Linked DNA regions of Neurospora crassa OR74A. Each later gene encodes a partner of the first gene's protein in a complex. Links are inferred from orthologs where the notes say so. Each region holds a gene or a part of one and is shown on either strand. Other genes may lie near its edges.

Region 1 (3,749 bases):
GGTTTCGGCGGCGACGATGCCGCCCATGGAGTGGCCGACTAGAACGACGCGGACCGAGGGATCTATGGTGGGCGATGAGGTTCCGGCGGCAACTTCGAGGTCGATGACTTTATTCATGAGCCTGTGATAGCGAGGGCGACCCATGTTAGGGATGGTTCGGGGCTTCAAGCATGTGACAGATGAAGGAACGGATGCGGTCGATGAGCACATACCAATCTCGAAATCGCGCTACGCACTCGCCCAAGTCCCCTCGAGTCTCATATTTGGGATATACCACGACGTTGACGTTTATCTTGGGTAGGTCGGCCGCGACAAGTTGGCGGAGGTGCTCGGTGAAGGCATAGTTGTCGCCAAAGGTCGACTCACCTCCCTTTGCATGACAATGTCAGTTTGATCTTGGCTGGCGCGTCGCTTAATCTCATTGTACATACCTTGAAGCCGTGGATGAAGCAGAGAAGTAATGTCTTTTTCATCCTTCCCCATTGAGACTAAGCAAAGTGGAAGTGGTGCAAAATGGATGTAGTGTAGGGGAGGCCGAGAGAATCCAGATGCGACACCCATGTAAACTTTCAACGTTGCCCCGGCTGTTACGGTGATCCTCCATCTAGCGGCAGCGTCATGTGCAGGGGCCTGCAGGGCCAGTGTGGGGGCGGGGCCGCGCTATGGAAGGGACCTCCCAGGGGAACTCCAGTGGATGATGCATGGACACCTGGTCCGGTCTTGCCCTTGCTTGCCGCTTGGGGCCAGATCCCATCTTCCACAGGGGCCGCGGCAGCTTTGAAATGTCATCTGTTCTCCAAATCCATACTTCTACTCTATCGTCATTTGACCTTCACTCCGATGGTACGTACCTAGCATTAGACCAAAGTTGAATTGGTACTTACAGCCGATATAATAGAATACGTCCCTGAATATTAGACCGATGTTTACTGCAAAAATGGAACTGATTCTGCCAACTCACCTGTCCCCATGGCGTTACTCGAATGTACTGTAAGATGCCCAGAAGTGGACAGACGGACATCCTACGCCTACCTACCTAGGTACTTGAAGGAACAGGTCGGGTTGTCTGGGGAAGACCTTCTTCTACCTGAAATGCGGCAGTCCAGCGGCCTTTGCAATGTGACGATTGAGCTTTTCAGAGCTTGACTCCCTGAATTGTCGGAACCAAGACACCAAAACCTAAGCCAACATGATACCCGTCTTATTATGGTGGGGGTACCAAAGTACTTGAATTTCAGTGGAGATTAGGTATCCCCGTGCGGGTCCCAGGATACTCGTCAGAGGTTTACGGGTGATTCCTGCAGGTTGCATTTCAAGTTGCAGTGTCCAGCGTCTCTGAAATAACAGGACATTGCTTCGCGCCAATCATGCTGCCAGACTTGTGGTGAGTGGGAGTCCGTGCTCAACACCCAGGCTGAACCGAGACGCGCCGAGTCGGCGACGTGCTTTTTGTCTTCTGCGACAACCTACCTAACGCAGCCCCTTCATCCATCCCCATCGATCACCCTGTCTGGTTTCGGCTTCTCCGACTGCCCCAGGGTCGATATCAGAATCAATCAGCTATCCGGTATCACCATCTTTCGAATCAACAAAAAGCACAGCATATCATGACCTGAGCGTTCTTTGCCTTACGTGGAGCTGCTTGGTTCCTTCTGTTCAATCCCATCATAGACTTCTATTTTCGCCCGTCAGCGTTCTCTCACTGCGCCTGCGCTCCTCTCTTTTGCGCGCGCGATCCAGTTTTCCTCTTGTCGCGACCAGCGTCATCGATCAGTCCTGCACGACATATTTCGTCTTCGATACTCTTAGCGGCGCATCCAGCACGCTTCCTCGTCCCACCGCGCTTCGTGCCACCATGTCGAACCCCGAACAAACCTTGGGCGTAACGCCTCCTATCTCGACCACGCTACCTACCGACGCCGAGAAACGACAGACCGAGGCCCTTCTCAAAGAGCTGCGCGCGCAGGGCACCTTCGAAAGTCAGGCCGAAACTGATAAGCGATGGGCGGTGCTCGCAGATCTCCAGCGCATTACTGATGAATTCGTGAAGAGGGCCGCGCAGGAAAAGGAGCCGCACAATGCCATTTTGATTCGCGACGCTCGAGGCAGAATATTCACATATGGCAGTTTTCGCTTGGGTGTGTATGGGCCAGGATCCGATATCGATACCCTCGTCGTTGTACCCAAGTACGTCACCGTCAAGCAATACTTCGACATCTTTCCCAACCTTCTTGTCGAAATGGCTCCCCCTGGCGCCATCACCGACCTGACTCCAGTACCCGAGGCCTTCGTTCCTATCATCAAGTTCGAGTATTCGGGCATCAGCATAGATCTTATCTTCTGTTCAATCCAGAGCCTTCGTCAACTTCCTGACGACAAGGACTGGAATTTGAACAGTAACAACCTCCTGCGCGGCTTGTCCGAAAACGAGGTGCGCTCGCTCAACGGAACACGCGTAACCGACGAGATCCTTGCGCTGGTTCCCGAAGAGAAGACGTTCAAGCTGGCACTTCGTGCAATCAAGCTCTGGGCTCAGAGAAGGGCTATCTACGCCAATATCATGGGTTATCCTGGTGGTGTGGCTTGGGCTATGCTGGTCGCCAGAGTATGCCAACTCTATCCGAAGGCGACGAGTGCTGTCATCGTCAGGAAATTCTTCACTATTATGCTCAACTGGCCATGGCCGCTCCCGGTTCTTCTGAAGAATATCGAATACAACCAGTCCATTACGCGTGTAGCGGTGTGGAATCCCAAGGTAAGTCAACCCCTCATCATTGTCGCGCTGATGTCTCACCACAGACTAGATATACCCGAGTGATCGCAATCACAAGATGCCCATCATCACCCCATCATACCCTTCCATGTGCGCGACACACAATGTTGGAAGGTCTTCAATGGCGGTCATTCAACAGGAGCTGGAACGGGGGGTGCAGATTTCCGAAGAGATCATGTTGGGTAAAAGGCCTTGGAAAGATTTGTTCGAGAAACACACCTTTTTCACCAACGGCTTCAAGTTTTACCTGACGGTCATCTCATCCGGCAGGACCAAAGAGGCGCAGAATACCTGGTCGGGCTTCGTCGAGTCAAGAGTGCGTGTTCTGGTCCAGAAGCTTGAGCTGCACCCTTCCATCGCCCTTGCCCGCCCCTTCAACAAAGGTTACGACAGAGTGCACCGATGCAAGACGGATGCTCAGGTCGAAGAGATTCAAACCGGAAATCTCACATACATGGTCAAGCCGACGGATATAGCCGCGAATGGGAGCGCCAAGAACGACAGCAAGGTTGAGGTCAAGGCGGAGATCAAGACGGAGGATGGTGTTGCACGGGAGCCGACTGTGCCGGCTGTCAAGGAAGAACCGAACGACGTGGTACATCTAGGAACGGTACCTCTAAAGCCTGAGGACAACTCTGTAAAGCCTGAGGCCAACGACTACGACGAAGACAAGGTTAAGCTGGAGGATATACCGGAGAAGGAGCCGGAGCTTGAGATTTACACCACTAACCATTACATCGGCCTGCAGCTGGTAGAGGGAGCTAAGTCTCTGGATCTGTCCAGAGAAGTCGACGACTTCAAGGCAATGTGCACCTCGAACGACATCTTCAAAGCAGAGTTGATGGGATTGACTATCCAGCACGTTAGGAATTTCGATCTCCCCGACGACGTTTTCGAGCCTGGAGAGACGAAGCCTGTTAGGCCAGTCAAGAAGAAGAAGCGTATGGCCGAAGGGGAACATGCGAACGGCCCGATG
Region 2 (3,749 bases), about 2.9 Mb from region 1:
ATTGGTGGGGTTCACCGCGGTCCCATCCAGCTCAAATGCGGGGCATACCTCTAATGACAGGGGGCAACAGGGGATGTGTTTACTTTAAGCTCCCGTCGTCCAAGGCCTGACATATGGGATTCAGGGTGGTATTGAACTCAACCTTCATCAAGACTACCTGATGGTCAGATTCTTTATGGACAGTAAACAATATTGAGCTTCCTCTATTTGCTAATGCCTATCATCCCCTCAGTGAAAATCAACTTGATCAACCATTACATGCTGTTCATCTTGACCATTCCTTTCCATCTCCTCCTACGAGCCTGGTTAAATCAGCCTTCCAGACCACTTGCCTCGCGACCTGAACCCTTTGAAGCATGCTAACTACTCCCATACGCCGGCGAATAATGCAAAATGGGTATCTCATGTACAGTGCATCAAAATCTTCTTTTGTTCCCGGCGTCTCTCATGTTCTCTTACCACGACGCTCTTCTGCTCTGCCCTGATGTAGCAACAGGATACCATCCAAGACCTTCGTACATCGCGGCATGGGTCCTGTGCAGTTTGAGCCACAACCCCCTTCCTCGTGCGTGCGGCTTTTGGGGAACTCTCCAAGTATCCCGGCGCCACAATGGGGACAACGCCCCCACAACCACGAAGCGATCGGTGTCCAGAAATAATGAAAAGTTATTTTAGAACTCTTGATCATCGACTTCGGCCCAGATAAACGTCGCCAATTCATATTTCTCAAGCGGACGTTTGCGCTGAACCGGCAAAGCCCGGTCCCACATATTCCGTGGGGTTGACCATGGAGGTGAGGTCCAACAGTTTCCGATAGACTCCGTTTATAAATCGGAGACCGGCAGCCAAAACATAAGCTCCTTATCCGCAGTGGCAATCATGTTGAATCTTGGGTTGTACTGCACAAGGACTGGTTCCTTCTTTCCTTCCTGGGGAAGGAAATTCGGTTCCAGAACCTTGTTATTGGGAGTTTGCAATGTGTCCCAAACCAACAGGTCCTTGGCCGCGCCCGACACGACATATCGTCCATCTGGCGTAAAGCAACAGTCTCCACTGCTCTCTAGCGCACCGCTTCCACCATCAGCCTCGCCAGGGGCTGGCCGTCTGGTGCCGCCTTGGGGCTTTCGCAAGTACGCCTTCAGGTTCCCGTCAATGGCGTCAAAGAGGAAGTGTCCTCCGGTCCGTGTTCCTAGAAGAATATGCTTCCCGTCGTTGGAGAACTCGAGTTTCGTCCAGCCTCTGAAGACGGCATCCGCATCAGCTGGCCCCTTCTCTTTCAAAACGTCGATGATCTTGAACGGTTTCACGTAGTTGCGGTAATCGTAAAGGAGAATGCTGGCGCTGGCTGGTAGGGCGATGGCAAAAACGAGACCAGCAGGGTCCCAGGCCGCTAAAGTGGGATTGGTGAGATGGAATTTGGCAACCCAGTTCCTGCTGTTGAGGTCCCAGAGCCTGACTGTGGTGTCAAGACTGCATGAAAGAAAGTTATCGGAGCCGGGATGGAGAGCAATGTTGGTAACGGAGGCCTCGTGGCCTTCGAAATATCGGATAAACGTATTGTCGTGGGTTGCCAGATAGCGGATTGCGTCTGTGGCGATCCAGGTCAGCGAAGAGCAGTCATTGAAGGGAGAAAGGGCGTCCAGTGACATACCGTTTTGCTTCGTGCTCGCATAGATGATGCCCGAGCTGGAATGTGTAAACTTCGCATGCTTGACGCCGTACTTTTTGCTCAGCAAGCTCTTGTCATGCCGACCTTCCCTAACGTTATATATCTGGATGGTCTCGTCGCTTTCAGACGTCATGCAAAGCTCGCCAGGGTCGTCAAAGTCGATCGATAGAACGTATGGCTGGGGCCTACCCTCCTTCACGTCGTCTCTCTGGAAGAACTTTGTCGGCCTAAAATTCTTGATCACCTCACTGATCTTGGAGGTACTGGGCCCATTAGGCCCAAGTAACCGAGTAACGTTCAGGGAGGGTGTTCCCGCGCCGGGTTCGTCGATGTCCATCGGTGTCGATGACATTGCGGTCGATTGATCGTATTGAAACCGGCTAGAACCAGAGAAGATGGCGGGGCAAATATATTGGGTCAAATTGTATAGTATCGGATTGATGGTAGTTATTTGATGTTTGGTTCAAAACTTAGTAGCATCCGTCAACCGCGTTGGTGTTTCTGCCGGGCGGAGAGACAGAGCTTCAGTAATGCGACGTCAAGGTACATACAATGGCTTGGCAGTGGCCCAAGACCCTAACCCTTGTTTCGATCCATGGTCACTGCATGGACAACGACACCAGTTGGGTAAGTAGGTATCGATGTCAGTGACAGCTGGACAAACTCCATCAACGCTGGGATACGTTGGTGATTTGGCCGCAAACCGAGCAGTCAATTGACAACGGTGCTAGTGTATGTTCACGAAGCTAAAATGGCAATCGTTACACACTACGGTAGGATGCTCAATTGAGGTCCCAGTATGACTGTCTTCCAAGCTTTCGGTACCTTCGTCTTTTTCGAAATTGTCATCAAGCTCCGATTCGGACACTTGTTGCCGTCCATCGCGCCTAGGCCCTAACCCTCCCTCGCAGCAACGACAGCGTTCCCCGGCCCAGACATTTCCGGTTCTGATTCAGGGTCCACGTCTGGGCCGCCCGACCCGCCACGCCCCCTTGTCATACCGCAGAAACTCCACATTAATCTGTTGTCCGCGCGCCGAAACCGCAGCACTTACAACTCCTTCGCCTCGTCGCCATTGGGCACCACCCCCATCCACGGCATCGGAGGAGGATCTTGACACCAACTTCCGTGCCTGACCCAAAGCGGGAGTTGGTCCCAGTCGATCACTTCGACCCCCTTGTCTGCCCGGCGACTGACCGGCGAGGCCACCTTGAAGCTCCAATAAATTTCCCGGACAGCTCTCGGTGGTCTTCTCTTTCCTTCCTGTTCCTGGAGAAAGAAGCAGTCGTCGTCGTTCGTTGTGACTTCGTTCAGTTGTACACCTGTACATACACCGATCTGATCTTTCCCCAGATCATCCCCTCATTGCCGTCGTTACTCTCCGTGATACGGTGACATCCACTCCCGCCTTCCCCGGCCTACTCCCGAATTAGTTCCCGTGTTCCCCCCTCTCTCTCTCCGAACACCGGCAAGACTCGGCATTGCGCCTTTCTTTGACTTTGCGCGCCAACTCCGTCGCAATCAACCCAAAGACTCTGGGGACTCGACTTGAGTTCTCCCTGATATTTTCCCCTCCCTCACCCTTCTTCCCCATACATTCTCCCAAAACAGATACCCTAACGTCACTATGTCAACAACAGCAGGGTAAGCTCTCCCTTTCCCCTCCTCACAATGCGCCCAGTGCGCGCGCGCAACCCAACCCAACCCAAACCCCCCCCTCCCGGTCCCAAGCCCAGACTAACATCCCTCCCTCCCTCACAGCGCCTTTATAGCCGGCGGCATCGCAGCCTGCGGCGCCGTAACCGCCACGCACCCCTTCGAGACCGTCAAGATCCGCATGCAGCTCCAAGGCGAGCTCCAATCCTCTACCTCCTCCCCTCACTTCTACCGGGGTCCGATCCACGGTGTCTCCGTGATCGTGCGCAACGAAGGACTGGGCGGCATCTACCGCGGTATCGGGTGCGCGTACATTTACCAGATCCTCCTGAACGGATGCCGCCTGGGGTTCTACGAGCCGATGCGACACGCGCTTGCGACCACGCTCTTTAACGACGCAAAGACGCAAAACCTGGGCATCAAC

Evidence for each region. Proteins that work in one complex are often made in the same cells at the same time.
Region 2: un-17 (region 1) and NCU07885 share a complex: the UniProt entries of both Saccharomyces cerevisiae proteins name them as parts of the cleavage and polyadenylation factor (CPF) complex. The link is inferred for Neurospora crassa OR74A from reciprocal best matches to the Saccharomyces cerevisiae genes PAP1 and SWD2.

The regions. Positions count from the first base shown.
Region 1 is NC_026503.1:4,131,408-4,135,156, reverse strand, and holds the start of un-17 (Poly(A) polymerase), read left to right. Parts: upstream 1-1,295; 5' UTR 1,296-1,855; coding exon 1,856-2,755; intron 2,756-2,804; coding exon 2,805-3,749. Other genes in the region: NCU08984 (hypothetical protein), read right to left, coding at 1-121, 213-370, 432-473. UniProt on the Saccharomyces cerevisiae protein: Polymerase component of the cleavage and polyadenylation factor (CPF) complex, which plays a key role in polyadenylation-dependent pre-mRNA 3'-end formation and cooperates with cleavage factors including the CFIA complex and NAB4/CFIB.
Region 2 is NC_026503.1:1,232,240-1,235,988, reverse strand, and holds NCU07885 (WD repeat containing protein 82), read right to left. Parts: upstream 2,149-3,749; 5' UTR 2,022-2,148; coding exon 1,652-2,021; intron 1,589-1,651; coding exon 825-1,588; 3' UTR 179-824; downstream 1-178. Other genes in the region: NCU07884 (mitochondrial oxaloacetate transporter), read left to right, coding at 3,297-3,313, 3,431-3,749. UniProt on the Saccharomyces cerevisiae protein: The COMPASS (Set1C) complex specifically mono-, di- and trimethylates histone H3 to form H3K4me1/2/3, which subsequently plays a role in telomere length maintenance and transcription elongation regulation. Involved in mediating RNA polymerase II termination.